Mytilus edulis: one gene and its partners. The protein of the gene in region 1 binds, or shares a complex with, the protein of each later gene. Links are inferred from orthologs where the notes say so. Each region holds a gene or a part of one and is shown in the gene's direction. Other genes may lie near its edges.

What was found.
Region 2: eukaryotic translation initiation factor 3 subunit I-like (region 1) and eukaryotic translation initiation factor 3 subunit G-like share a complex: the UniProt entries of both Caenorhabditis elegans proteins name them as parts of the eukaryotic translation initiation factor 3 (eIF-3) complex. The link is inferred for Mytilus edulis from reciprocal best matches to the Caenorhabditis elegans genes eif-3.I and eif-3.G.
Region 3: eukaryotic translation initiation factor 3 subunit I-like (region 1) and eukaryotic translation initiation factor 3 subunit H-A-like share a complex: the UniProt entries of both Caenorhabditis elegans proteins name them as parts of the eukaryotic translation initiation factor 3 (eIF-3) complex. The link is inferred for Mytilus edulis from reciprocal best matches to the Caenorhabditis elegans genes eif-3.I and eif-3.H.

What each region holds. Positions count from the first base shown.
Region 1 is NC_092344.1:35,623,108-35,633,011, reverse strand, and holds the start of eukaryotic translation initiation factor 3 subunit I-like, read left to right. Parts: upstream 1-4,964; 5' UTR 4,965-5,092; coding exon 5,093-5,095; intron 5,096-9,182; coding exon 9,183-9,363; intron 9,364-9,904. UniProt on the Caenorhabditis elegans protein: Component of the eukaryotic translation initiation factor 3 (eIF-3) complex, which is involved in protein synthesis of a specialized repertoire of mRNAs and, together with other initiation factors, stimulates binding of mRNA and methionyl-tRNAi to the 40S ribosome.
Region 2 is NC_092345.1:11,398,565-11,409,326, reverse strand, and holds the start of eukaryotic translation initiation factor 3 subunit G-like, read left to right. Parts: upstream 1-6,085; 5' UTR 6,086-6,177; coding exon 6,178-6,197; intron 6,198-6,295; coding exon 6,296-6,342; intron 6,343-9,257; coding exon 9,258-9,352; intron 9,353-10,085; coding exon 10,086-10,145; intron 10,146-10,762. Other genes in the region: sperm-specific protein PHI-2B/PHI-3, read left to right, coding at 1-394. UniProt on the Caenorhabditis elegans protein: RNA-binding component of the eukaryotic translation initiation factor 3 (eIF-3) complex, which is involved in protein synthesis of a specialized repertoire of mRNAs and, together with other initiation factors, stimulates binding of mRNA and methionyl-tRNAi to the 40S ribosome.
Region 3 is NC_092353.1:8,917,898-8,929,245, reverse strand, and holds the start of eukaryotic translation initiation factor 3 subunit H-A-like, read left to right. Parts: upstream 1-6,493; 5' UTR 6,494-6,568; coding exon 6,569-6,625; intron 6,626-8,309; coding exon 8,310-8,466; intron 8,467-11,348. UniProt on the Caenorhabditis elegans protein: Component of the eukaryotic translation initiation factor 3 (eIF-3) complex, which is involved in protein synthesis of a specialized repertoire of mRNAs and, together with other initiation factors, stimulates binding of mRNA and methionyl-tRNAi to the 40S ribosome.

The sequences.
Region 1 (9,904 bases):
TCAAATGGTTGCTGCCTAAACAAAAAAAATCACTAGAAGTGGCTGTGAATAAACTCATCAAAGATACAGAGAAATTTGTACGCCATGAGACGCAAAAGATTCGTCATCGACGCTCGAATATATAAAAAAAAAAAGAAAGTTAAAAAATGCCCCAAAAATACGAAGTTAAATAGCATTGAGAACCCAAAATCCCCAAAAGTTTTGCCAAATACAGGTAAGATATGTATTCCTGAGATGCAAAAGCCTTATTATTTCCAAAATTTAAAGTTTAACTTTTGTATAATAATTATGACCATATTAATGATAAGTCATGTCAATACAGAATTGCTGACTACTGGACTGGTGATCGTGACCCTCATAAAACTATAATATCAATGTTTAGGCGTAAATTTATGATAAACATGCATCATTGCTCAACAATTTGGTAATGTCTCGCCTATTGTTAGACTTTGAAACATTTCTAAAAAGCACTAGCTACGAGATTTGAAAAAAATAGAATATGATTATGTTTGGTTCAATCGTTCATAAAAGTGAAATAATGAAATAATGATTCGTTTTTGGCAGCAAATTTGACGCTACATTTTTGTCAAAATAAACAACGAAATATCGCTGATGAAGATTGGTTACGCATGCATAAGTCGTGTTCAGTCATTTATAAAAGGAAAAGAATGTCAACATTGAAGTGAAACATAGGTTTCTTATTAACTTATTTGTTTAACCTATAACATGAAATTAAATAGACCTATAAAAATCCAATTACCGTGACGAGGTCGCAATCTATTTAGATTTAGGTTTATGTTTATATCGGGTGATGTGAATGTCGGGAGTATTCGAGGGTCATCTCGGCAGTTATTTAGATGGCGTCTAAACTAAAATAGACATGAAATTCTGATATACATTATCGAGTACATGATTTGTCAACTGCTTAATTCAGACTTATTGTAATTTGGATATATACGTTTTAGTATTTTATAAATTAAATTTGAGGAATTGAGTCAAATCGTTGAACATGAATTTGGCAGCTAATGCCCCTTTAAAAACATGAGTCCGCTTTATTTTAACACTTACATTCTGAACTGTTTAACATCGTGTAGACTGCAACGATGAATTTGTATGGTCGTACGTACTTGATAATAAACTCATCATAGATACCAGGACTAAATTTAGTATATACGCCAGACGCGCGTTTCTTAGTGTGTCATTTCAGTTGCCGGCCCGCTAACCGTAAGCAATGTTTCTTTTGCAATTTGTCAGAAATTAAAACTTTTAAAAACTAGTTAAAACTTGCACTGAACGATTAGTTGCAGAACACTTATTAGCGGCCGAGATGAAACGATATTCAGTGGCGGATCCAGGGGGGGGGGGGGGTTCCGGGGGTGCGCACCCCCCCTTTATTTTTGCCGATCAATGCATTTGTATCGGGACATATGTTTTGCACCCCCCTGCACCCCCCTTTGCCCTGGGTTAGCACCCCCCCCCCCTTTTCGAAAATTCCTGCATCCGCCCCTGATCTTTTACTGTTTTTGTGAAAGGTATCACCAGCCTTTTATTCTATGTTTTCGTCACTGACCAGATTTACAACATATATCAGTAAAATAACGGTACTCAATTGTAAAAAACTATCAGATTTTTTGTTTTAAATTCAAAAGAATTTGAAAACTTTAGACAGTACTAAAATATATATGTAGTAAATTTGTGAGTAACTCATTAATTTGTACTGACAATTCAGCAGTATAAACGTAAATATGTATATATACAATACTACTAATGGGAACTATATCTTCAATTATTAATGCTCAAATGATATTTTGGTTAAAAACTATCTTTGTTTGGTTAATAAATTTTGTTTCAGAATATCAACATATGTAAATAACGAAGATCTGCTTTAAGGTTGGTCGTTTTTCAAATATTCCTAGAAATGAGAGAATAAAATTGAGAATGGAAATGGGGAATATGTCAAAGAGACAACAACCCGGCCATAGAGCAGAAAACAGACTACGACAACAATTAAAGGGGACAGTTTTCACACAGCGATAAAATCCCGCACCCAAAAAGGGGCTTTAGTTGTCCCCTAAACAAAACTAGTTCAGTGAAAATTGACGTCATACTAAATTCCAAACTAATATGAAAAAAAATTAGAAATGATACAAGACATACGCTCTTGACTTGAGACAGGCGCAAAGATGCGGCGGGGTTAAACATGTTTAGTGAGATTTCAAGTTTCAACACTCCCCCTATACCCCTAGCAAATGAAGAGAAAACAAACACATAGCAATACACACAGTAAAACTGTCCGAGTCTGATGTCAGAATAAGCTAAGATTTTATAATAGTCTCAGGAATAGGTAACAAAAGAAACTAAGAAAAATGATAATGATAAAAATTAACAAAGGACTATGAACAGTTAATAACATACCAGCTGCAGACCTTAATTAAACTGATTAAAAGATGTTGTCTTCATCCTATTTACATCAAGTACAATACCTCCCGTAAGAGGTTTAGCTACATACGGTCATATATATATTTTGTAAACTTGTTTTAGGTGTTCATAACAAATCCATGAATTTGGAAATTTTATCCGAGCTAGGACGATTCCCACTTTATTATGATATGATTAAATCCATGTTAGATTACTGGTATCGCTTGGAAAATCTTGATTCCCGATTTTCTCTTCTTAAAGATGCTTATGTTACATCACAGAATCTTTCTCATTAAAAAAAACCCATCTTGGTATGGCTCTATGAAATCAATTCTTGAAATGATCCCAGACATAAATTATCTATCTTCACCATTACCAAAAATTAATAGCTTCAAAGCTAATATGAAAAAAAATTAAAATCATATTTTATAGACTTGTGGAACACTGAATTGGTAAAGCATTCAGATGGTAAACTTAGAACTTATGTTACATTTACATCAATTTTTGGAAGAGAACACTATCTTTCCATTATTGGGAATTTTGAACAGAGACGAAGCTTAACAAAGCTCAGAATTTCATCACACCACTTAAGAATTGAGTCCGGAAGGTATCAGGGTACTCTCCAAAATGACAGAACTTGTACTCGTTGTAACTCCGGAGGTGTGGAGGATGAATATCATTTTTTATTCCAATGTGTTAAATTTAATGATGACCGCAATCATCTATTTCAAGAGATAACTAAAAGTTGCCCCAACTTTTCAACTCTTAACGCAAGAGATAAACTGATATGGCTTATGAACACAGAAGATAAGTCTATTTTCACTGCTGCATGTAAATTTATTTCGAAAAATTGTTAATTATGTGGCTTTCTTGTCTGCTTCAGACACCAGGAGGACTGTGTAAATACAACAGCTCATTGAGTACCACCCCTTGGTGTCTGTTGCAGTAGGGAAACCTACACTATTCTCAATACCTGTTTACTGCAGTTTATGTTATTAATTGCTGTGAATATACATGAACTTTTTTCATTTGTGTTTGTTTTTCTGCATCAGATACGAGGAGGATTGTTAGAGCTTTTAAGATCACAATCCTAGAGCATCGTCCCTTGGTGTCTGTTGCAGCTAAACAATCATTTATTTTATATTTATACATTTTCAGCAAAATATTATAAAATAAAGTGAGAGAAAAAAAGTAAATAAATAAATGGGGTTTGCCACATCTCTGGAGTAGCAACTCTCAAATACTTTTTATTTGACAAATAATACCTGTATGACTATTTCAATAGTTTATTTTAAAATGTTATGTAAAATACTGTATATTGTATCAATTATATATGTTATGTGTATATGCCCCCCTGGGGACCTAATTTGGAAAATAAAATTTATCTTATCTGATATGACCGTACTGTAGCTACGTTGTTCGGTGTGAGCCAAGGCTCCGTGTTGAAGGCCGTAAATTGACATATAATGGTTTATTTTTATAAATTGTTATTTGGATGGAGAGTTGTCTCATTGGCACTCACACCACATCTTCCTATATCTATAAAATATACGAGAACTTGTAAAACCCGTATTATGTCAACACTGAACTGGTTTTTGAATAAATGTGTCAGTTATTTCGAATGCAAAGACCCTATGAGTAAATCAATATTAATACCAAAACATGCCATTAATAAACTGACAACAGTTTTGTAACTATATATCTTCTAAATAAATCTGTTTAAAGATTTGGTTAGCTTTTGGGGTGGTTGCCGACATTTTTGTGCTTTATAAAGAATCATATTCCCATAAAGATTAGATGTAAAATACCTAATGTATCATATTCCATTACCATGTGAAAACTATATTGCTTAATCTAATAGGATTGTTCTCTTTGATTTTGTTAGCAAAAAGTATCAATTTTTCGATGTGTTACATTATCATGCATAATCATTTCAATAAGCGTTGAAGACTGCACCGGCAGGCTTCAAAACTGAGCCGAATTGGATAATTTACTAAATATGCTAGTGTTATGATAAGTATTTTTGTTATGTCTGAGTAAAAGTTATTGTAACTATGTATCTATATTGTTTGTTTCTATATTCTGTTCTTCTCATTTTTTGTTCTTATATGCTTCTTGATTGATATTAAAAAGTAAAATGACAAAAATACTGAACTTAGAGGAAAATCAATTCGGAAAGTCTATAATCACATGGCAAAATCAAATAACAAAACGCATCAAAAACGAATGGACAAGAACTGTCATATTCCTGACTTGGTACAGGCATTTTCAAATGTAGAAAATGGTGGATTAAACCTCTTTTTATAGCGCTAACCCTCTCACTTTGATGACAGTCTCATCAAATACCGTAATATTCAGTACATTGATGCGTTAACTAAACAGACACAATAATACATGTAATAGTCACAATAATAAATCACAGTTGAACTGGTGTGTTAATGTTGTCGTTATCATATTCGTATTCAAATTAACTTTGTGATTGACAAAGAATTATATAAAAGTTAAACTGATTTATCAGGTTTATGGTAGAAGAAATGAAAACTATAACGCCTACAGTACGGAGCTGTTCTCAAACATGAATGACAGGTTTTAACCCTTTCTCCAATCAGATTTATTTCCGGTCAACGTGCTGTCATGAAAGTTTATACACGAATTTCACAATAAAACAAATAGAATGGTAAGAATAATAAGTGAAAAGTATTTTTCACTGTTGTTTATGAAACACATACATATAAAAGTATACCAATAAGCTATGTACCAAGGAATATTTTCAAGTTTATTGGATTTATTCCCAAAAAAACGAGACCAGATGGCAAATTTCTACATTTTTAAACTGTCAACATGCCGGGTACGTTTCTCCAAATAACGTTAGACCCCTTTCACGTTCGCACCCTTTTCACTGTGCTTAAACGGCTGTGGTTAAGTTACCCACAGCCCAAGATGGAGCCGCCTTGCGTCGGTTAGATACTTTTCTTCTATATAATAACAATACCACGAATGCATCAATTAAACAACTGAATTTAAAAGTTGTATTAATCGTTTAGGGAAACCCCTAAACTGGAAAGGTGATTAAATTCACCAAAATAAACGATCACAGCACGATTTTAAAAAACACTTAGGCTGTCCGTAACTTCAAAACAACTTGTCCGTAACTTTTTTCATCATACCAATAGAGATGTCCGTAACTTTCAAAGAATCGACATACGCGGATGTAATGTTTAAACTGATGATAGAGATTCCATCGAATACATATTCACAAAACGAAGTAGATGTCTAGTATGATATAATTCATTGTATCGATGAAAGACAAAATTGGGAAAAATATGAAAAAAATCACGATAAATCCGTAAAACTCGGGTCTCATTTTGTATAACGTCGGGGTACCCGAATCGCCTAGTTCGGAGGGTTGTTTCCGATCATAGCAGATAAACTGTTGAAACATCATTGTTCGTTTTTATTTTTGAACAAGTAGACTACACAAGTATTTTTTACACATACATGTAGCATGTATACACTTACTGATTTTCTGCCAGCAACGACAAGGGTAGCGTGAATCCGGGATTTTGGAGGGGAACCCAAATTGCCCAGGCGTGCAGTGGATAGACTATACGAAACTTAAGTGCACAAACTTTTTCCGTCTTTTTGAAAAAGCCAAAAACACTTTTCTCTCATCCCCACAAAAACAAATCCCATCAGCATTGACAGTAAAATAAAAGGGGTGTCAATCTGGACACACTGGGACGTTGCGCACGGTGATATTGCGGCACCCTGGCCAAGATTTACAGTAAATGGGAAAACTTTAAAAAAGGACATTTTGTATAAATGAATAAACCTAGTTTTACAGCTAGCTGCATATTTCATTTGTATGCAAGTTGCATTAAATCTCATTAAACTGAATAAAACTAAAAGACACAATAGGTAAAAGTCAGTGACAATAAAAGGAAAAGAGCAGTCATCATAGTGTAACAATTCGACATAGTATATAAAAATATAAATAACTACGTAGGAAAACAGGGTAATTTAATAGTCTAACAACCCCTGATGACATACAAAGAGAGAAAAAAAACATACTAGGAAACATATTCAAAAAATCATAACACTATAACTAACTGGTGGGATGTATAAATACCGAGCCGCGTCAAAGAGTATTCATCAAAATACACATAGAAAGAAACAGAGGTGAAGACAAACTGCAAACATATAATTAAACTCAAAACATTAAAGAGTATGGAAAAGCCTTGGTCTGACAAGCGAAAAACGTCGATAAGACGCACATCAGTAAATAAAAGTTCAAACCATAACCAGGATGGAGTACCACAAACCCCACATAAAACGTCTGTGGTGTAAGTATGATGCGTTAATAAAATCACATTTGGTGGTGAATGAGTAGTATAAACGGCCGCGAAGGTTACAAATATGATGTTTATTGTCTTCTAATTGTTGAAATTATAATTCTTAAAATTTTAAATCAAAAGTTACCCACATCTAAAAATAAAGTTACGGACAGTCTGCTTAGTTTCGATCAAAAAGTTACGGACATCTTATGTATTTTTTAAAGTTGACCTTGCGCTTTAGTGAACTCTATATTAACAAATTTATGGTAATTGTTAGTCATTTCTTTATTCAATAATCCTATAAATATTTACATTCTGCATGAAAAACGTCGCAAAAGGTACATTTTGTATGAATTAAATATCAACGAGTTTAGAGTCCGCCATCTTGGGCTGTGGGTAACTTAAGTTACCCACAGCCGTTTAAGCACAGTGCTTTTATTGGTATTTACTATTGTCTTTAACTTAGTCTTAGTCATATATATAGTGGGCAAATAAATGGGGTATGCGATTTAACGCAAAAAAGTGCTACAAGTACATACTAAGCATAAAGAACAAAAGCCAGAGATTCTATACACTCAACGGCCACATACTCCATCAAGTTCAGAGCAACCAAAACCTAGGAGTGCAGATATCAGAAGACGTGAAGTGGAGCACGCACATAACTAACGTTGCTAAAACGGCAAATTCAACCCTAGGCTTCCTCAGAAGAAATTTACACCATACTGTCCACAGGAATGTAAGAAAACTGCTTACATTTCTCTAGTAAGATCAACAATGGAATATGCATCAACAGTATGGGACCCCTACAGTATAGCAGACTCAAACAAGCCAGAACAAATACAAAGACCAGCAGCACGCTTTATCACAGGTGACTATAGAACTAGAGAAGATGGCTGCATAACAAACATGCTTACAAAATTAGAGCTACAGGAATTGCAATTGAGACGCACAAGCTTATATTTTTGTACAAGGTGGTTGAGGGGCTGCTACCTGCTATTGATCCAGACGACTTCCTCAAATCAGCAAGACCAAGACAGCTAAAATGTTTGACAACTGTCAAGCCACAAACAGTTGAAAAACAAGTGAGGAATAATACCAGGTGTTTTGACATTCCTACCAGTAAAACACTGCAACATTCAAATTCATTCTTTGTGTCCACAATAGTAAATTGGAACCATCAAGAAGACACTATTGTTTGCGCAACAAGTGTAGAGAGCTTTAAATCTGCTCTCACGAAAAGTCAGTAAATCGACAGTGCCTTCACTCCCGTTGTATAAAAGCCAGAATTGGTAACTACGACGTACCCATACAGATACAGATAGTTTTTGATTGTTTCAAAATAAAGAGTCATCTAATAAAGTAAAATACTGAATAGGTTAACTTAGTTCAAAGGGTTTTATTAGGCCTAATTGAACTGCAAAAAAGACAGCAAAGGTCATAAAAATAATTCAATTTTGGATGCATCACGTCTTATGTTTGCGAGGACAATGTTGCGTCTATCAGCTAATGGTCATAATTTTGTCAAGTGACCGTGACGTCATGAATGTTTCATGTGTTTGTCATGTTTTACTTTAATAAAATTATAAGGAATGACTGTAATATTTGTTCTGTCTACAAATTCTTGGTCTATTTAGTGTGCACCACATTTTTGATGTTATTTCTACAGAAAAAATATTACAGTTTCTGAAATAAACAAATTTCCCAATTTCAATAAAATTTCAGTAAAAATAATGCATTTTCCACAATAAATATGGTATAGGTAGTTTTGAAAAAAGGCAATAATATCACTATACAAAGCAATCTTAGTCATATAGAAAAGTGTCAGCCTTCAAGCTTCACTTTTGAGTCCACAAACAAGAAACTCAATAGATTACTTTAGCGGTTTTTGGCACAACTTTGTAAATGTACAATGTTACATATCTGGCATGGATAGCATCACTGCATATTTGCTTCAAGTTGAAATTAACATTGTGAAACCCGTAGCTATATACAACATGAGTAACCATGATTTTCCAAAACTCAGAAGTTTAGATGAAGAATTGGCATGAATACATTTGTACAGGTGTAATACCGCTTTTGATTTTCCCCTATTAGTCTTTGTTAAATTTGCACTTTTCAAAAATTTTACAGAATTTATCTTTGTTCTAATAAAGAAATACTTGGCATGAGTAAAGTTTTATCTTGTCCAGTTCTATAGAAAAAAAATCTCGCTATGTTTCTTTTCTTCCTGTGTACAAGCTGTAGTAACCATGTAACCTCAAGTTTCCAAAATATTTTATAGAAACACCAAATAAAAAATGGATAGATAATGGTGCTTTGAAAAACCAAAGATGAATGTCTAGGACACAGATTTTTTTTTTACTGCAATGAAATGTTGTAAAATTTCCTACAACTGTCAAATTCAAGGGAATATTTTTTTTCTATTTACAGAAGCCAATTTTATTACACGGACACGAGAGATCAATCACCTGTATTAAATACAACAGAGAAGGTGACTTGATATTTTCAAGTGCTAAAGATAACCAGCCCAATGTATGGTACTCCCTAAATGGAGAGAGATTAGGATCATTCAGAGGACATAATGGTGCAGTGTGGAGTATTGATGTCAACTGTATCCTCAAATTATACTTCTGTTTACATCAAGAAGAATAGTAAAACACATGAATTATCATTAATCTTTGTAAATTTGGTCCTCATTTTGAGAGTACAGATTGGTAAATTTACATTTCTAACAAACCCAAAGTAATTTTTCTGTAAGGCATTTTACCATAAATTTGTAGTCTGACTGTTTTAACTTATTAATGATAGTAACCTTTTAACATTGAGACATCCCCATGGCCTTAGTTCAGTGTTAAATTGTAATATTACATTGGTTGCAATGAATTATGGTTGAAATGGATTACATTGATTTCCCATAGAAATAAAAACCGATAATTTCACATGTGAAATAAACGTGGTTATTTCACTCCTCCGACATGTCTGACGTGATACAACAAGAGGCGTTGTCAAGACGTTGTCGATTACGTTGGATCAAAACAAATTGTGAAGTCGTAGACAAAGATATAGTTCCTTACATTTTTATACGTATATTGATATCATGTTGGCATCGTCGTCTGCGTCGTCGTCCGAATACTTTTAGTTTTCGCACTCTA
Region 2 (10,762 bases), on another chromosome or scaffold:
CAAAGGAATCAACACATCACACCTTGGATCTGCAATGAAGTTGGCTTTTGCAAAGGGATTGAAATCCGGTGTTTTAGTCAGACCCAAAACTTCCGCTGGTGCTTCTGGTGCAACTGGTAGCTTCCGAGTTGGAAAAGCACCTGCTTCTCCCAAGAAAAAGGCAAGGAAAGCAAAGTCACCAAAAAAGAAGAGTTCAAAGAATAAGTCTAACAATGCTAAGGCTAAGAAGTCACCACGTAAGAAGGCTGCAGTTAAAAAGTCAACGAAGTCTAAGGCCAAAAAGCCAAAGTCTCCAAAGAAAAAGGCTGCCAAGAAACCAGCAAGAAAGTCTCCAAAGAAGAAGGCCAGGAAGTCACCAAAAAAGAAGGCCACCAAGAAAGCTGCAAAGAAATAGATTTTATTTCCAGAAACAACACAAACCAAAGGCCCTTTTAAGGGCCACCCAAATATTTCAAAAAGAATCTCTTTTGTTGTACAGTTTGTATTGTCATAGTCAAGATGTGTCTTCTTCCCTTTGTTATATATTTGAAGTTTAACTTAAATTTCCTGATTTCCCCGCACTTTTCAGAATAATATTAATCTTTCTTATGGGTTAACCCTTAGGTCATGTGTATATTTATATCGTTCGGTTGACGCTTTAATTTGTTTCATTAGCGTGCACCCCTTTATTCAATCAACAGCTACTCAAATAGATTCCGGGGAATTCAAATACAATGATTCTAAAAAGGATCTATATATCGTTTTAACTCTCGTATTTAGTGAACACCAAGTCCTATACAGTATATATAGTCTTAAGTTTTCCCTCTGTATTTCTATAGAGATTAATACATGGCCTTTTCCATATCAGCCTGGGTATCATCCAGAGACCCCCATATCAGCCCGAGACGGAGTCGAGGCGCTGATATGGGTCGAGGGATGATACCCAGGCTGATATGGAAAAGGCCATGTATTAATCGCTTTATCATATACTTCCGACAATAGTTTTATGTAAGGCAAAAAAAAAAAAACACAAATGCAACAACTAAAACAGTCAAAAACTTTATAAAGAAGTTAAGTTATAAATCCAATATACTACAACTGTCAATGCAACCAACAGCATCACTACCTCCATATACATATAGAATAGAATATCTTTTATTTCCATAAAGAGGTACCCTCAAGGGGCATAGTGCATATACATTCATGACAATATATAGTTACAAACAATTACAAATACAATAAAGCAAAACAACAAAACAGTATGCTTTAAAAAGTTAGACATTTTAAATATTACTTACAGTATCCCAGTGTTATATTATAAATGTTTACTCAAGGCAGGTGTTTTGATAAGAAATAGCCAAGTTGTTTTAAAATATTAATAGACTCACAGTTTAATAGCCAAATAAATTTATTGACCATATCCAAGGAGTAAAAATTTTTACATTCTTTAAATATCAGATCAAATAACATGTCTCTATCCTTAGAGTATACAGGACATTCTATAAGAAAATGAAGTTCATCTTCCACTTTATTTAAATCGCATTTATCACAAATTCTTTGATGAACTTCTAATTTGGAATATCTCCCAGTTTCAATTTTAAGTCTATGAGATGAAATCCTGAATTTTGTGATAGCTTTTCTCAAATCAAAATTTTTCAAGATATTTAAATAATTTTCTTTACAAAATGATGTTTTAAACTGACAATATGTTCTTAGTTTTCCTTGGCTATTTTGGCTATAAGCATTTTCCCAAGATTTGACATAGGATACTTTTAAACAATTAAGTAAACATTTTCTGAATTTGTATTTACTAAAATTAATGAAGTTACTAGGCAGGTCAATAATTTTACATAAGTGTCTGACACTGCTATACCAACTATTGTGATTTTTATCATCTAAATCTTTAGAGGTTTGTAAGGCTTTATATAATAAAGAGTCCTCAGGCATATTTTCAATTCTAAAATAATAATTCAGTAGATTTTTCACAATACTAATATAAATAGGAAATCTACCTAGTTCAGAGAGTACAGCAAAATTGCTGCTCTTTCTGTTTACACCCAAAATAAATTTTGTTATTTTCATGTGTAATTTATCTGGTTCAAGATCTGAATAAATTTTATCTAAGACTATATCATTTCTAAATTTACTACTCTTTGGGTTAAATGTACCCCAAATTTCAGAGGAATATAAAGAAATAGGTTTGATCATGTGATCAAATAGATGTAGACTGGTAGTAATTTTTGGATGTGAACGAATAACATCTTTGCATAATTTATAATAGCCTTTTAGACTCTTTTTGTACAATTCCTGTCTTGCATGAGAGAAGACACCTGAAGCCGAAAATATAAGGCCTAAATACTTGTAGTGCTGTACACATTCCAGTTCAACTTGCTGAAGAGTAAATTTTTCATTGATAAGTCTACCTTGCTTATTAAATACTAAAATTTTTGTTTTATTGGTGTTTATGTTTAAGCACCAGTCAGAGCAAAACTTATCAACATTTTTTAACTTAGATTGAAGACCATATGATGTGGTAGAGAGCAAAACAATATCATCAGCATACATTAAACAATTAATATTAGTATCACCCAAAATCAGATCATCATCAACATTATCAATATATGATGGAAAGTCATTTATAAAAATTTTGAAAAGATTAGGGCTTAGGTTATCACCTTGTCGAACCCCTAATTTAACTCTAAAAGTATATGTACATTTTATGGTAACATTTCCTATAGAGGCATTTTGAAACATTGAGTAGTTGGAAGAGTTTCATTATCATTATTACTCCATGTTTGTTGTACTATAAAATGATTCATAATTGCCAATGGTATTTGTTAGTAAGTACTAAACTATCCCCACAAAACTGTTCCCGTAAATTTTGACGTCGTCATCAATATCTGACGTCACAATGGAAAAAATAAACAACCGATACCGGAAACACCGGAAGTAACTTGCACGAGAAGCACTGTTATGGGTTTTTGCACGAGACGCCCCTGATATGGGTTATCAGACCGGGCTGATATGGGTTATCAGCCTGGGTGGGAAATTATGGCTTGTGTACTTCCGTTCGTTACACATATGCAAAAGCTATCATATTAATGCTAAGTATATGATAAATATAAATAATAAATAAAATAAAAACAATATTAACAAATTCTGCAAAGAGAAAATATAAAGTGATTGTCACAAGTAGACAGTCAATCAAACAACTCATAATATAGTAATCAGTGGTGTAAAGTAGCCAAAATAAACCGGGTTCACGGATTCAATTCATAAAATGTAAATTTTAAATTTCAGACCAATTTGAAATCAATCAATTTTTATAGAAAAAATGAATTAATAATATTCTACAGCTTGTTTGTGTATGCAAACATAACTAAATGAGTTTTTTTTTTTTGTTTCATCGAAAACTGAGCTACCATATTATGACCTTGTTTCGATGCATTTTGTGTTTAGTGATACACGAACATATATGTCATTACATGGATAAAACGTAATAACGAATGATGATTTTTATCAATTCTTGAGTGTTATGCTGAAAAATAGAGCTTTGGCCGAAAACAATAGATTGAAGGATATTTGTTTCCTTCTATTTTCTCTTGTATATTTACAATAAAATTGAGAATGGAAACGAGGAATGTGTCTAAGAGACTTGCATGGTCTTCAACACAGCAAGAAAATCCTGCCTAAATATTTCCCCCTTGATTCTGTATTTTTTGCTCATTATTCTCTATTCTGTAAACAACCCTGTTAGACCCTGGTCGTTGATTTTTATCACTCAAACATAAGTGTTTAAACAAAACTGCATGGACCGTAATCATGTTTATTCTATCAATATATTTAAAGTATAGTCGCTCGGGAGAATATCAATTCGAAAAACTAACAAGTTGTTGGATGGGACATTGTATGATGAACTCAACTGTTATAAAGAAAACATTCTAACGTAAGGGTACCCAAATTGCACCGAGTACCCAAATTGCACCTATTTAGAAAAAATAGCAACAGAAATCCTACAAGATTTCCTAGAGACTAATCACTTTGTATTTTTATGATTTGATACTATATACGTCTTTTAACATAGGTAAACATATTTAGATATACACAAAACGTTCACAGTGATAATCAACAGATGGACTGTTTACTGAAAAAGCAAAATGTACGAAAACGTCATCATGCGACGTCATCAAAGCGTCATCTTCCTAAAATTACCAAATACAATATCATAAGTATCCATTTCGTAAAATATGAAGAGTAAGCATGGACTAATATCCAATTGTTCAAAATATTTGAAGAAATTAAACAAAAGCTCGGTTATCAGACTTTTGACGATGTGAATTTATAAAGCATGGATGCAATTTGGGTACTCCTCATTACAGAATCATGGACAGTTTGGAGGTTGATTCAAACCCATTTTTTTATGACTCAATATGGATTCAAAATTAAATTGGTGTACCTATACAATAAAGAAGGATAGGGCTACAAAATACACACAGTATGGGCATTTTTTTCATGATCATAAAAAAACGTAGGTGAAAAAACAGTCAAAATAGGTGCAATTTGGGTACCGTCACGTTACGTGTAAATATGGACCAATGAAATAGTAAAAAATCAATATATATCCATACGGGTTCCTTAAAATGAAAGAGCTTCGAGTAAATTGTTCAAAATTGTCAAACAACAGTGACAAAATCATATCAAAAACATTAAAAAAAAAACATCGTTGCTATACATACATTTTTACTATAGTGTTCCTTTTCTGATACATTTCTCTTCAAGTTAAAATGCCATTGCCACAGTAAAAGTTGAAATAAATTCATTATCTCAAAGCCTGATATTTCATTGACGCCCTGTTCAATCGCTCCCACGGCTATTACACAATCACTTGGAACCTTCTTTAGCTTGGACAAATGTATAAAATACACGAAGCCATATTGCATGGATAAAACGGAGATGTAGATGTTGAATGGTGATTATTATCCATTTTTGGGCGTTATGTGTTGTGCGTTATGCCGGAAACTATAGATTGTGTGATTTTTTCCTTCTATTTTCTCTAGTATATTTACAATAAAATTAAGAATGGAAACGAGGAATGTGTCAAAGAGACAACAACCCAACTGAAAACGCAGAAAACGAGGCTACCAATGGGCACAGCGAGACAATCCCGCATTTATCTTTTTGGCCATTAATTCTGTATTTTGCTAATTATTCTCGACTCTTCTAACCACATTCAGACCCTGCCGTTGATTTGCACCATTAAATTGTTTCACATACGATACGATACGAGAAAAAATATTTCATAAATCATGCCGTTTAATTTGATGGATAGTTGCCTCATTGAGAAATTGTACCCCTTCTTGTTTTTATATTCATGTCAGATAAGATCGGTGCTTTATGTGTTTTTTGTCTTCTTTTTTTTTATCGTAATTTAACTAGTTTTCATTTTTTCACATATATTTTTATGTCTGTTCTGACACGAAATAGATCTTTATTTGTTTATTTGAAGAGTTGGGAAATGTTTTGCCGCTAGACATAGTATAGAAACAATCATCAGTTCAAAATGCTCGATTTTTAAGCTTGCGTGTACATAATAAATGAAAGCCATTAAACGTGAGTGATGCAGGACGTATTGGCCACACTAGAGGATCAACCACGGTCTCTTTCGATACAATCATACTTAACTTTAACAGTTGCAATTAAAACAGAACCCATCGAACACCCCTGGCTGCGGGTGTGCCCTCTGATCATTTGTTTTTAATTATCATTCCGTTGATTTATCTTTAGAAGTCATAATATTATGCTTTTGTCAAGTCATTGTTTAGAAAATATCAAACAGTCTACAAATTCTTATTAATTCTTATTATCAGACACATATACAAGTGTTATGATCAATTTCAACAGTTTTCTCTTGTTTTTATATGATGCATTTTTACTCAAATATCAATTATCTTTTTCATTTGAACAATTTTCTTTTTGTCAAGTAAAATTTCCAAAACAAATTTCTATAACCAAAATAATGATTATGAAAAATATGAAAAAATATGGCCGAATCAACAGGTGTCAAACTGGTAATGTGCCGAAATGACCTATGGACGAACTGGTATTGTGGCCGAAACGTCTCAAAAGCAACTTGGGACGAGATAATGTTATCATTTAGTTTTGCCCATTTAACCGGAAGTGTCAAATAAGTCAAGAAGCATGCCGTCAATAGACGCAGAGTATGTTTGGCTTAAAATTACTATATGATAGTCTACTATTTTCAAATCTGAAAGACTCCCTAACCTTGATAAACTCTATAACTTCTTTTCTATTTTAGGCCGAAAGGATTCAGTTGGGCCGAACAGGTAGAGCAAGGAGAAGATGGTAAGGCGCCTTTGACATATTGTCATCTTATCATATGTTCCAGCTGCTTTCATTCTGATCATATACTAAAGGGAGTAAATAAACCAGAAGGTTCTGTTTGGTCTCATTGTCTTGTATCGTTTATAAATTTAAAAGGGTGGTTGCCTATGGAGTATACTTTTTTCATTATAAGTTATAGTCACATGATCACTGTCGGTGTCAATCAATGGTCTACATAAATTAGCCACAGATAGCATGGATAGTGCATACATCAATCAGTGGTCTCGCTAGCCTGAAATAGAAGGGCGCCGCGCCCTGGGTGCACTCAGCCGCGCCCTGGGTGCCTTCATCCGCGCCCTTCTGTCCTGATGTCTTTTTTCCAAAATTCTCTTGTGCCGTTTTGGTAAAATTGCCTTTTGTTTCATTGATTTCTGATCTCCAAGTTAATTACATATATGACACTAGTGTGATTGCCCCCAGGTTAATCATGTCATTACAATCAATTACAATGATAAAGACTTCAAAGGTGTTAATATCTAGGTAATTTAATTAGGACAATGTATCTTTTTGTCATACATTTGATGAATGTGTCAGCGAGTGTGTTTAGCTTAGTGTGTTTAGCTTGGGTCGTCATTTTCGATTTCCAAGTCACAATGGAAGAGTGTATAAATGAAGACTTTCATGACTTTAGAATTGAATTTAAGTCATCAAAATAAAACTATGCCTTCACAGAAATGCCTTCCATCTCAACTTGTTAGCGACAAGCACAGTTTTTAATTAACGCAAACGTGTTGGAATTTAATTTTGGAGTTACTTCCCCTGTTTTAGCTTATTACAAATTTGTGCTCTAAAAATATTATCTAGTATCAAAAAAAGGAATAAAGAACCAATTGAATATATAATAACATAATAATGTTACCTTAAGGATATTAACTGTCTTTGAACATATTAAAAAAAATATATTGCAATTTCTGTTTGATAATTATACTTTTAGCAATCCATGTTCTAAACATTGATAAATTAGTAATACACAGAAACTTAGAGATGTACTATATAATTCATAACTACACAAACAATGAAATAAAGACTATAGTTAAAATGCATCTTTATTTAAAAAAAACCAACATATACAGTAAAAAAAAAGAGATTCGTTAACTCGTGATACACACAGAAACGTAGACAAAAAAATTTGCAGAGCCTTTTCTTATCATAAAAAGTGCCCTGCCCTCCACTGGCACCCTGCCTCTTTTGATTTCTAGCTAGAGCACTGTCAATATTATAGATGCTGTCATGTTTGAATAGCATCAGGTTTTTAGTTGAAAAATTTCTAAAATACCAATTGCTTTCATTATGTTCTTTCCAAACTAGTCCAAATAAAAGTTTATGGCGTCTGCTGTAATCTGGGACACCTTCATGATAGAAAGGTGTCCTGGAAAAAATAGCCTTGAAAGACGATGGGTCTCGGTGAAAACTGTTAAAATATGGAAAAATAAAGGTTGGCAGGTAGGTAAAACTTACATAAATGAAAAGATAAATGAAAAATGAACAGATTGATGCCCGATTTATGTAATTCCAAGGCCGTCAGTCGGCACCAGAAGCGACGAAGCAGGGCATCTATTTTGGGTGGGCAAATATCCACTTTTTGATATGGGACGAGCTCTGACGTCCAATGGCCCCAGCTTGTCTGGCAAACCAGCCGTTGGACGTCAGAGTAATCTCTGACTACACAAAACACAGATCAATTTTGAATTTTTGGTGGAGTCACTATAAACGATCTACAGTTGTGCCCCTTTAATTACAAATGTAAATATACGCTGAATTTTATGCTGCATTTCTAAAACTTTAGTCATGTTAGTTTGCCTCAACCAAATGCTATGAACAATGTACTGAAGTCAGCCTTAAACAAATGTTATGAAACTTTTACACATTGCTTATTACCGCATAATACAGATCAAGTTTGAAATTTGGTGGGTTCACTTATAGTGTTCTAAACTCATCCCTTTACAAATGGAATAAATGTTGAATTTTTATTTCTGTTTTCTAAAAACTTAATATAAGATTGCCTTTACCACATGTTATGAAACTTATACACAATACTTATAACCACAAAACACATTCAAGTACACATTCTAGTAGGGTCACTTTTACTGTTCTTCAGTTATGTCCCTTTATAACTTTATATGATATGCAAATGGGGCACTTTCTGTGTGTCATGTACAGATTCCACATTTATTTTTAGTGTGGTTGCACAGTATAACTCTGCAGACTTTAAAATTTCTAATCCATTGTCCATATTTAATCCACCATCATGGTTTCAATGAGAATCTTTAAGTACATAACATTCAGTTATTCTCCAATAGTTGATAATTGTGTCATTGATGTAATTCAGTTTTCTGTACTTTATGGTAACCTATCTTCTGCTATAAATTATTGCTCTAGACTTACCTTGTGATTAAGGAAAAGTTCCATGTGGTCAGGAAAATAAATAAATAAACTGAGCGTGAAACTCAACAGCAACACTTACAGTGAAAATTTAACCATGTTGGATTACATCGTAGAAAATCGTTAAGGATAATTTGATGGACATGGGGCACCATGAATAAAACATGTTGGGACATCACTTTCCATGGAGACCATATGAAAATTTCTCAGATTTTGTCTGCAAAAAAGAAAATTGACGCACCATTCCAAACGTCTCTTATGTTTTTCTGAAAATGAGGCTAGAAAAATATATACATATAAAATAAGGTGATGTGATATGATTGCTGATGAGACAACTATCCACCAGAGTTCAAATGGAGAGGATATAAGCAATTTAACCACTGAACTATAGGCTCCTGACTTCAAACTTGTTAAACATGTTTATTTACATTAAAAGACAAAACTTTGTTCAAAAATAAATGACCCAAATGATAATTCAGATGATTTATTTTCAGGAGTTCTGCCACCTTCTACAGAGACCATTGATGAAAACAAAGGCATCAAAGTAATCACAGAATACAAGTACAATGAAGATGGTAAAACTGTCAAGGTCAGTAATCCTGTTTAACATGTAGAACCAATAACCATGCTGACACGCATTTCACCAGTATTTAGGTTATGCTTGATTATAATAAATGAGGCCACTGGCCATGGACATTAATCATAACATTGTAAATTCTTCCAAGTTTTAAACAGCATTTGAAAAACAGTTTTGACAAGTGCTGAAATGTTTTGATAAATCCCACATGAAACATTAGCAAAATGTTATCAGTTATTAAATGTAAAAATGTGGAGAAAATAGTAAATATTTAGACCATTTGTTTCTTGTGCAAATCTGAACATGGTTATGGTAAATTGATTTTGTTCAACTTTGTGGTTAAACCAGAGACAGTATATTTAAGTTGTGTTAAGATAGAACATAATTGAAATCTAAATAGAAACAATCAACCATAGAAAACCAAAAAGGACAAATTAACAGATTAGTATAAAAATTGAACTATAGTTTACAAGTGAAAAATAGTCACAGTAGATTATTTCAAAGGTCATGCAAACAATATAATTGATCAAAGATTAAGTATCAAGGACTTTATTTTAAAGGCAATGCATATAAAGACTGATAATAAATAACCAGCAGAAGAAGAAAAAAACCAACTTGTACAATTCAAAAATTGATTTCACCAAATAAAAGCACATTTTGACTTGCAGAAATAGACAAGTTAAAGTTTTAATTAATTCTGAGACTGTAATAATTGGTAATATTTTTGCTTTTTTTTTACTTGTAGATTATTAAGACATACAGGATTGAAAGAAGAAAAGTCCCAAAATCAATTGCTAGAAGAAAGGTATATGTTTGTTACGGTTTAATTGATTGTGTTAATTTTGAGATCCATTCATCGCCCATTGCTGACAAAATTAGATACTTATATTATGTATCACATTCATAGCTTTTAATTTTGCCTGAGTAACAAAGTTGATTGTAAATAAACAGATAAGAATATTTCCTAGATTGTAATTAATATCCCTGGGATGAATGGAAAGAGGGTGTGTTGCTTACTTCTTTCCATCTATCAGATGGAATTATAATATTTTGTTCATGAAGCAGATTAACAATGAGAGCATTCTAAAATTTGGTATCACACCCCTAATGCATTATGTGAGCATGCTGTACAATGAAACAGTGTAAGAAGCTTTTCCACATCTATTGCTCATTAACTGTTAACCAAATACTTATAGTAGGGCCTAAAATAAAATATTGTTTGTTTCCCCAATCCCGACCGACCCTGCAAAATTGGTGCTACTCATAAAATTTTATTGTCAAAACTAAGTGAAAAATTATTTTATTCATTTTGGATTTTCAGGCTTGCCGGATCGTCCGATAATGTCAAGCTTTTTGGAAAAATAAAATTATTTCCCTACCTACCCACACCTGGCTTGGCAGGGTCGGGATTGGGGAAACAAA
Region 3 (11,348 bases), on another chromosome or scaffold:
GTAATATAATGTAATACTTCTATGGATATACTAACTATTGAATAACCACATGTGTATAGTAAAAAATACGTCACAAATTTTGAGGTATGATTTTAATACCACCAGGTAGACAATTTTATTGGAACTGACCGTCGTCTTCTTTTCAATTCAAAGTACATTTGTTCCCTCCGTCTTGTTCTGTCAATGAAACCGTGCAGCCTCCACGACATAGCCAAGGGTGCCGGAAGTTACGTTAAACACCCTAACGTAATCAATCATTATTCTTTAATAATTTATTATTTTTGTTTCATTGTTTTTCATTGCAGCGGAGCAACAGTCTGTCCAGATGACAACACGTGGTCGAATAGAGCAAACACGTCATGAATATCATTGTGTATATAATACATCATGTCAACTTATAGAAGAGTGTAGACCAAGTCAAACAAATGATAGGATTAGGCTTTACTTTATTGAACGAAATACTGAAGCATTCAACATTAAGACAGTGGCTGTTATGTCAACAAATAATTCCAATTATCACAAACTGCAATATATAACTTTATTTAAGAATTGAATGCTTCTTTTTGTAAATTTATTGGGGTGTAAAAGCGTTGACCGAAGTACATTTTGTATGAAGCGCGGAAGCGCTTCATTCTAAAAATGTGCGCACGGTCAACGCTTTTACAACCCTATAAAGTTACAAAAAGAAGCATTCAATACTTATAATTGCATTTTTTAGCTATGATCATGAAAACACGAATTTTATATATTTTTTTATTTAATTCACCTGTGCCCTTTATTGTTGGACCACGTGTTATCATGAATGAAAAGTTGTATTGAGCATTGCAACTGCTTACGGAATAACACGTGATGTGCAGATAGCCAATCAGAATAAAGTGTTATAATGAAACATACATCTAATGTAATTATGTGAAAGTAATACGAGTCATGTTCAAAATTCATCGCCTACAAGGAAGAATGATAGTTATAAGCTATGCTGTATCACAGAATCTGTTATACTTATAGGGCTTTTAGTTATAGGAGTCGTGTGGAAATATAGACAAATGCAATATCAAGGCAGTGGCGTAGCTAGGTCATTTTGACGTGTACGCCCGAACCTTGGCAAGGAATCCAAGGATTCCAAAACGGGTCCATGTCAAACAATCGCTGTTGTGGTTTAGCTAGGAAGCAAAGCCACCGGAATCTAAAGAGTAATCGAGAATGGGTACCATTCCTGTCATCAAAGGCTCATCAGTAGCAACATAAATTAGAATCTAAATGGATTATTTGTTATGTTAAATTATTCATTTTTGTTAATTAGAAATATAATGGTCATTTGATTTAGAGAAAGTGTCAAAACCAGTAACTTTTAAAATAAATTATGTTTAAAATGAACCGTTGGGGTAAATCACTCAACCAACAAACACACCTATTTTATGTCAAAATTTCATAAATGAACATGTAAAAATTAATCTTCAGAGATGTTCAGGTGCAATATTAGATATGGTAAAGTGTTTTGTAGAACCCTGGTTCTCGTCTGGAATATTCCTCGCAAAAGTGAATCCAGTTATCAGTCCATTACAGGATTTAAAAAAAATCAAACATGTTCTTTAGATATTTTTTTTATCTAGAATATTACTTTTGACCCTAGTTTCATAACTGTCTATGCAGGGTTATGCATTTGTGAATTTAAAAAGCCATACAGTCTGTCAGTATAATATTGAAAAATGAATAAGCAAATTTACTTTCAAAATTGCTTAAAACAAAATTTGTAAAAAATTCTTGGATTCTGCTGAAGTTTCATTAATTAGATGAAGATTTGACAAAGAATTTGTTGTGTAAAAAATGTTAACCAAAGCCTATAACTATTAGTACCTGTTAATTTTGTTTGTAAAACACGGTAAACTGAACTGCATATAGTTTCAACATTATGCTGTCATTCGAAAATGAACAAATATACTATATGATACCATTGGCTGAAAAGTAAATTTTCCGCAATTACAAGCTAATGAAGAAAGAATTATAAAGCTGATGTGCTTCTTACTACTTCTTTTTATTATTTTTTTAGATTACATTATCATTTTCTCAAAATTCAAGTGTACGCCCGGGCGTTTTGACGTAAACGTAGCTACGCGCCTGCAAGAGAGTGAAGCAAGTACGAAATTAATAGCAAAAGACTGTGAGATAGCGAGATTTAAAAAAAGAAAATTGTGATTTAAAGGAACAATCAGTAAAGCTTGAAGAAGAGAAAAATCATATCGTGGAACAACTAGTACGGCTCAGAGATATGTGTGGAGAAAAGCCCGGCGTCGAAAATCGCTTTGCGCAAGAAAGTTCACCAGACGAACAGACATTTGGAGATTTTCGGGAAACTGACATCTTAATATCATAGTCTACATAGATAAAGTATTTCCGTATTTTCTACGAATTCTATGAATGGGAACAATTCTACGAAATCTATTGGGAACATTTTATGAAGAATTCGAAAAAAATCCAAACTGTTCATTAGATGGATTTTTAACTAAAGCAACTACTATTTGTATTCAATGTAAACATGCACGCCTATATCTGGGTTTTGTTTGTAAGTGTGTGTGTGTGTGTGTACTTTATGTCATAAACATGCATATATCTTGTATATATCTTGTTTGTAATCGTTATGAAATAAACTTGTCTCGATTATGACAGGTCACGAGTGCCATCTTCGGCTATGACAATCGCTGACTTTAAACTTGCTTATCAACATGACCAATCAGTTGACATTTTTGAATTAGAGTAAAGCCTGATCAGATTAGTGTGAGAAAAATATATTCAAAACGGTTTTCATTCCTGGCGCACTATAACTTAATATCTTTTAGAGTACATACACTCTAACTCTCTTTCATCTTGCAGTAGTATTAAAACATTTGACTTTTCTACACTTTACACAAGTATTCCACATTTCAAAATAAAAGACAAATTGGAAGAGTTGGTATTGATTTGTTTCATAAAAAAGAATGGCCAACGTAGATACAAGTATTTTGTCTTAGGGACTAACTCAGTCTGGGAGGGATAAATCCTACTTTGTAAAGGATTACTCTGATTCAAACAAAAAAATCTCTGAAACTTACATTATCAAGATGCTTGATTTTTGATTGACAGCATATTTGTTACGTTCGGAGGACGTATTTTCCAACAAACTGTCGGCATTCCAATGGGAACCAATTGTGCCCTCTTCTGCCGACTTGTTTCTTTATTATTATGAGGCTGACTTCATACAGGAACTTCGTAGGAAGAAAGATAAGAAGTTAGCAATATCCTTTAACTCTATTTTACGCTATATAGATGATGGTGGGGTTCGTGTTGCTTAGTCCTTAGTTTTCTATGTTGTGTCTTGTGTACTATTATTTGTCTGTTTGTCTTTTTCTTTTTTAGCTATGACATATTTTCAGTTTGTTTTCGATCTATAAGTTTGACTGACCCTCTGGTATATTTTGCCACTCTTTTTAAATTACTTGCTATTCACTTTTTTCTTTCGCAAAAACAAAAGCAGTTATAAGGATAATCAACTCTTTCAATTTGTCTTATAGTTTAGAATGGGGAATACTTGTGAAAAAGTGTAGAAAAGTCAAATGTTTTAATATACTATTGCAAGATGAAAGAGTCTTAGATTGTATGTACTCTAAAACATCATTTTTTTAGTATATCAACATCAATCTAATTGAAATAAAGATCTCTGCTTTCGTTGTACTACATATGCCTATAAAAGGGTGATTGAAAAATCACCAAAAAAGATGGATTTCGGAAATGAGTACTAGCCCAGCAATCTCCGTACAGCGCTCGTTTCCTTTCCGTATACTTACACTGTGTCTATACCACACCGGCAAAATTTGTTCGGACTAAATGCTATCTAACATCCGGCACAATGACGGAACATTAATAGACAGAAAAAAGCTAGGTTTCTCCTTATTTTCTTATTTTCTTTATGATATCGAAGAATATATATACATATACAACTATTTTCTAATGTGATATGCAATATTTTCTACAACCGTTCTATATTAACGGAGAAATAAGTAAAAATGCATGTCAAAATGACGAATTGAGTGAACCTTGCCTCGAAATTGTTTAATTTCTCGTTAACTTGTTCACATTGTACGGAAAGAATGGTACGAGAAGATAGATACTGACACGGAGATTGCAAAACTTGTTTTTATGAACATCTCAATACTTGTATTTCTGAGTATGGAACGAAAGAAATGGGTCATGTCAAAATGGAACTGGCCGGTTTCGTCAATATGTACCACCCGGTTTGGTCTTAGATTTTACAATGCATAACCCGGTTTGGTCAAATAAAAAAAATCATAATCGCATTGCATTATAATTGATAATTTAGCTTCAGTGTTAAAAAGGAGTTTTGTGACCGGGTAGTTGGAAAACAAGTTCTTTCACAGGACAACGGCTTATTATTTATATGATTAGTCTCAGATTCAAATAAAAAATAAGCAAACACTAAAATTCCTACTCTTATAGAAGACAAATAATTTTTATTTTATTTTGCATTCAAAAATTTTTAACAGCAGAATACATATAAATGAAGGTTATAACGCAAATTGAGGTTAAAGCTCTCAAATATGCGTTTTATATATGAATTATGGAAAATATGATAAGACAAATGTATATATGCATGCATAATCGAAATGGAAAATGAATGTTTATAGGAAGAAAAGGATTACAACTACCATGCATCAAAGGTGGGATCGGGGGAGGGGGGTGCAATATATACGTCTTCGAGATTCGCCACTTATATTATAAAGTGTATACCGAATTAAAATATTGTAAGAAATAAGAAAACAGGGACACCCGCGAAATCGGATTATGTGAGTCTGATTATGTTTATTATAAACATTCTCATTGATATTTTTAAACAAGCGACACTAATTGATTCGAATTCATAGCGTTTTGAACTACATGTATTTGTATAAAGCTGCATATGTCAAAAGTAAGAAGGTTTGACTGTAACATATACAAGTATGAAACACAGATCTAACGATTTTTTTCCCTATTTGTCATATGTCCATTGCCCTTGCCCTTGACCTCATTTTCTATATTATTTTTCCTTCGGCCACAGACCTTCACCATAAATTGAATTGCGACCATTTAAGCATTTGTGACATGTACACTTAAATATAAATAATATGTCTTATTTGTTTTATTGAGAAAAAAACGTCAGTGAAGCTATGTCCGATCCGGTTCGTGAAATTTGAAATTTTCAGTTGTTACACATTGTTTTTAAATTCAAGAACGGTGTAATTTTGTTTGGAATTCTTTAATTTAATTTTTTTCAATAATGAAATAATAGATAGAAATTATTATTTTCAAAAATATATATATAAGGCATATAGCAAAAATGACTTAGGAAGTCAAGAAGATATACAAATAAATCGACTTGGTCGATATCCTAATAAAACTTTTGACCTTTAATTAAGAGGTTTTTTTTCCATTTCATTGCGTTTTTACACGCCCGTCAAAATTTTGACAGGACGTATTATTTTGTATACATCCGTCCGTCCATCTGTTCTTCCTTCCTTCCATCCGTCCGTTCCTCCATCTATCAGTCATTCTGTCCGTCCGTCCGTCCGTCTATCTTTCCGTCCAGCGTAAACATGTCGCACCGTAACTTGAGAACAGCTTATCTAGTTTTCATGAAACTTAACAAAGTTATTTCTTGAAATGGTCAAACGAACTATAAACCTTTTAGTAAAAATCAAATGAAATCTTATTGAGTTACAGAACTTTGTAAGTAAAACAGGAGTGTGGTTTTTTTTAACATGTCGCGCCATATCTCAAAACGATTTATCATTATTGCATCAAACTTTACACACTTCTTAGTAATATAAATCTTAACTTCTGCATCTTCCCGTATCTTTCTTTCCGTACAATGTGAACAATTTAACGAAAAATTAAACAATTTTGAGGCAAGGTTCACTCAATTCGTTATTTTGACATGCATTTTTACTTATTTCTTCGTTAATATAGAACGGTTGTAGAAAATATTGCATATCACAATAGAAAATAGTTGTATATGTATATATATTCTTCGATATCATTAAAAAATAAGAAAATAAGGAGAAACCTATCTTTCTTCTGTCTATTGATGTTCCGTCATTGTGCCGGATGTTAGATACCATCGAGTCCGATCAAATTTTGCCGGTGTGGTTTAGACACAGTGACTTAGTACACTACAATACAATGACTTAGTGTAGTGATACGTAGTAAGTACGGAACGGATGTGAGCTCTGCGCCGGAGATTGCTAGCCCAGCAGTATATTATCCCCTCAAACATGTTTTGTACAAGATCGACAGAATGAAAAAAAAACGAATTATAATTGTTCTTTTTTTTTATTTTATCGACATTTTTTTCTTTTCCAAGAAATATTGTACAACAATACATTTAAATTATTCGGTTCTATAATGGTTAACGCCACAATTTTGACACTAGTACTCAAAGGACGAAATATTATTTGGGGCGAGTTTGTGTATAGGAATAAATAAAATATGTTTTGAGATTGTCCAGAAAGCGTTTCATTAACCCGGACTCTCCTTTTCCAAGATGGCTTCCAGAAAACACACGAGTTCTCCTGTACAATATGTTCAAATTGATGGTCTTGTACGTGTTCTAATTAATAGATTTCAATAATTAGTGTATGCTCATTAAATATAACTATTTAGCTTTTCAATAAAGCTTTGAATAGGTACCTTCTAATCTGGCGACGCAATTACATTAGTCTCACATCGTTTGTAGTGCCACAGGAAATTCATGATAAATTTCTGTCAATAAATATGATAAAAGTCTGTAAATAATAAAGTCGACTATTAGAAACGCTTCTCCTCTGTTTTTTTTTCATAGACTGCTATGTATGTTACAAATCAAAATAAGCCAGGCTTCCCAGAGTGTGACATTCTATTTTGTAGCCAGTACAAATACATTTTATATTTCTGTAAATTCTGACAATGTACTTATATTGATACACCTGGCACTTAAGTGTTAGTTGTTTAAATCCAATTGGTTGCCTCTGATTATTCAAAGAAATCAACATAGTTGAAAGAGTGTATGAGCACAGGAGTTTGAAATCCTATCAATAAGGGGGTCAAAATATACCAAAGTCGACTACCACAGTAGAGCTTCTCTCTCTCTTCGAGAGAAGCTCTACTGTGATAGTCGACTTTGGTATATTTTGACCCCCTTATTGATAGGATTTCAAACTCCTGTGGTATGAGTGGCCTCCTGTCTGTTTGAGATGTGCCCCATTCAATTACACTTTATTACATAGTTAGACTCGTAACGGGTAGAAGAAGAATGCCTTTACCATCAAGCATCAAATGGTTAATATTCAAAACATTCTACTTTTAATCTCATCAAGTTTGACAGAAGTTTGACATCTTGAACTATTTCGACCATCCAATGTTGATTTCCGGTTACTAGGATCTTCTATCTTCCTTTATGACTAACTATGATATCTAATTATAACCTAATTTGCTATTCATATGCAAGAAGGTAGAAGAATCATGTTACCGGAAATCAGTGTTGATTGGTCGAAATAGTTCAATATGTCAAACAGATTCTGCCAAACTTGATTAGATTAAAAGTAGAATGTATTAAATGTTGAAAAAAGTGGATTATCTTGACATATAAAGGTTGTTGATTCTAAAAAGGCACATGAAAATGTTGAAAAAAATGTTTATCTACCAGTGTGTATTGGTACGGATATCTGACAAATTTATACAAAATAAGCGAAAAATTAGTGCAAACAAATTGTCCACGATCTCCTGTTTTGGATTGGAACTGCTTTCTGTCTCTATACATGTATATTGCACACAAAAAAAAATAGAAAATAGCAAAATCAATAAAAAGCGAATGTAAATTAGTAAATATATGCATTATAGGGACAGAAGAATTTGGTCTAGAAGAATGCACAAGAATTTGAATGACTTTTCTGATCTGATGACTGAGTTCTTTATTACGAAGTTGATATATCCTTTTGTTTCCTGCACAGATTTATAACATTCATTGGGATGTATGTGTGAGATGGACCAACTGAGAATACATTCATATATTTTACTTTGTTGCATTTTAGGGTGTATTGAAGATAGTTAAGCATTGTCAAGAACACGTTCACATACATATATTTTACTATTTTACATTTTAGGGTGTATTGAAGATAGTTAAGCATTGTCAAGAACACGTTCACATACATATATTTTACTATTTTACATTTTAGGGTGTATTGAAGATAGTTAAGCATTGTCAAGAACACGTTCACATACATATATTTTACTATGTTACATTGTAGGTTGTATTGAAGATAGTTAAACATTGTCAAGAGGAAGCAGCTGGTGGAACAGATTTGGTCCAGGGTGTCTTGTTAGGTCTAGTCGTCGACAACAAGTTGGAAATCACAAATTGCTTTCCTTTCCCCAGGCATAATGATGAAGAAGAATTTAATGAAGGTAAGTAAAGATATTTTCTGTAGTTTACCTCATAGTTCCAGTGAAAGGAGTTGTTATTATGAAGTGTCTGTGGTTGTATGTGTCTATAATTTGTATCTCTATTGTAAATGTTTGAATAAAGCTGAAGTTGAGGCCACACCAAATTAATTAATAGTTCTTTGAGATTTTACCCAAAAAAAAATGGGGCGAGCGAGCGAAATTTAAATTTATATTTTTAAATTCTTCGCCTCAAATTTTAAAGAAATATGGAGCGAGTGATATTTTTTTTCTCTCAATTTTTATATCTTTTACCTAAAAGAAGCAACTGAATTTTCTACTCACTTAATTGAAAGGGGACATAATTTGATATAATTAAATTATCTCCCTTTTTATATGTATTTCAACTTTCTGCATTCTTTTTCATTTTGTTTTGTTGTTTGTATAATTAACACTGCACAAATATACACTTTTGAACATATTTTTTTATGCATGAACTTTATATGGCTATCTGCTTTTAATATGCACTGCTTTCATCTGTAGTATATGCACCTTCTGGTCCTTAGACACCCTCTGTAGTATGCTAGCTAGCTTCTTGTAACATAACTGCATGGTGTGTGTTTTGTGTTTATGCATATGGATCACATACCAGTTAATCCAAGCACAGTGGAAACTGGGGATCCTAGCTAGTGCTACTTTACAATTAAATATCAGAAAATAAATTACACCAAAACATACCAACATGGAAATACCTACATAACCTACATTTATAAGCCTATGTTATAACTAAGATTTCAACCAGATGCATCATGGAGTCTATAATCCTGCAATAGAAATGCATTTTTTTCATTTACAAAACATCCTGTGTTAAACAAGTTAACTTTCAATTTCACCCATCTTTAAAAATGGTATAAAATATCAAATTTTATCATTTTGTCAGTACCTTGTATTATTATAAAAAGGTACATATAAAAATGGAACAATATGGGGTATTTTAAAGTTTGAGAACTGCACAACATCCACCAGGAAAAATAACAAATGCAGAAAACCTCTTTACCTGTATCTAAAGTGTCTAGTGACCATCCTTGATCAATGTTTGAGGCCCAATCAATGATATCAGAGTAAAGTCTTTGTGGCCCAGAAAGCTGTTTCCCAGACAAGGGGACAGGTTTATCAGGCATGTGTAACTCATTTAGTGAGCTCATGAGTACCGAAAATGCATTAATTCCACTTGGTTTTGAATTTGATGCATCTTTAGTAGCAGTAGATCCATCATCAATTGTGAACTGCACATATTTAAAGTTTAGGTCATTACATATTGACCATACCATATTTTCGTCAGATATTTCGATACTAGAATCATCGAAACTGTTCGACTTACTTATTTGTATGGTTTTAATATTAATAATCTCACTTTGTGCATCGCTACATCGTTCAATGGCTTCTTGATATAGTTCCCTGAATGTCCGACATTTTGTTTGTGTTGCCGTATTTTTTAATATGTATGCCTTGTTGTTATTTTTGTCTGAATGTTTCACCACAGAAACAATCAGCACGTTTTCCATCTTTGCAACTTTTTTTATCAGAATCAAAAATATGCTTGACAAATGACAAACACTGCATATTTTCAAACGCTTAATTGATAAAGATTTTTTTTTAATACCGGAATCGAGTTCGTTGAAAATGCGGATTTATTTTCGACGTGCAGGAATTTTATTTTTATTTTTATTTTTTGGTTTTGGCAGGTGAGGTGCGGGAAATTTATTTTTATTTTTTTATTTTAATTTCGGCAATTTAGGTGTGGGTTTTCCAAAGAACTACTAATTAATTTGGTGTGGCCTGATGGTTAAAATTAATATCTTTATTATTATACCCTTGACAGCAAAGTCAAATGAAAGAAATCAACAATGTTTGAAAACTATATTCAGTTATGCCACAAACCATAAAACCTTGCAAAGAATTAATTCCTGCTAGGCTGCTAGGCCACCATAGCAAGGTTGGGCGGTATTTACCGCCCTGGACAATACTCTTCAAGTGGTCAATTAATACTGGCAAATACATATGTGTAACACATAAGCAAACGACAACCACTGAATTACAGGCTCCTCAGTGACTTGAATGTTCATTACCATGATAACATATATTAAATGTATTTTCATATTGAAATTGATAGAAAACAAAAATTTGGCAATTTTGGAAAAAGGGAGGAGGGATAAAAGAAAACATTTTCCTGTCCCCAGTACCTATGACTTTTGATACCTTTCCTGAAATTCTCCAGTCATTAAGTCTTTTACAAAATTCTTTCCTACGACAATTTACCTATTCTTTCAACCACGCTCTGAATGCCCGCGATTTCGCGGGTGTGTTCTAGTGATTTATAAATTAAGATATGATTTTTTTGAAAATAGTGTTTACAGGTAAATAAAACTTGAGGTAAATTAAGTTACAGGTGTCATATTACCTATCACCTGGCATTGCTAGGTGTGATAATTTAACTACTAAAACAACAGCCCCCAATGAATGATGACAAAACATGGGTTGAAAGTAATAAAAAGGATATTTGAAGATACTCATTAAGTTAAAAAATCAAATGTTTTTATCCTGTGTATTCAACTGTAAGACAAAAACCACCCTGCAGGAAATGAAGGAACTTTACTCTTATGCCTTTTATAATTTATGGTGTGAACAAAAAAATCTATTATTTGGTGTAATAAATTTTTACATACACATCTAGTTCAACCACCATGACTTTAAACTGAAACCGAAACTTTAGTAAAGACCCTATCTGGAACTTTAATACAATATTAGAAGACAACAACACAACCAGAGCAAATGATTGCGATGCTATAGTCAGTGCTAAAGGCACCTGATGAGTCCTTGACAGGGACAACACTGTTTTTATCTTT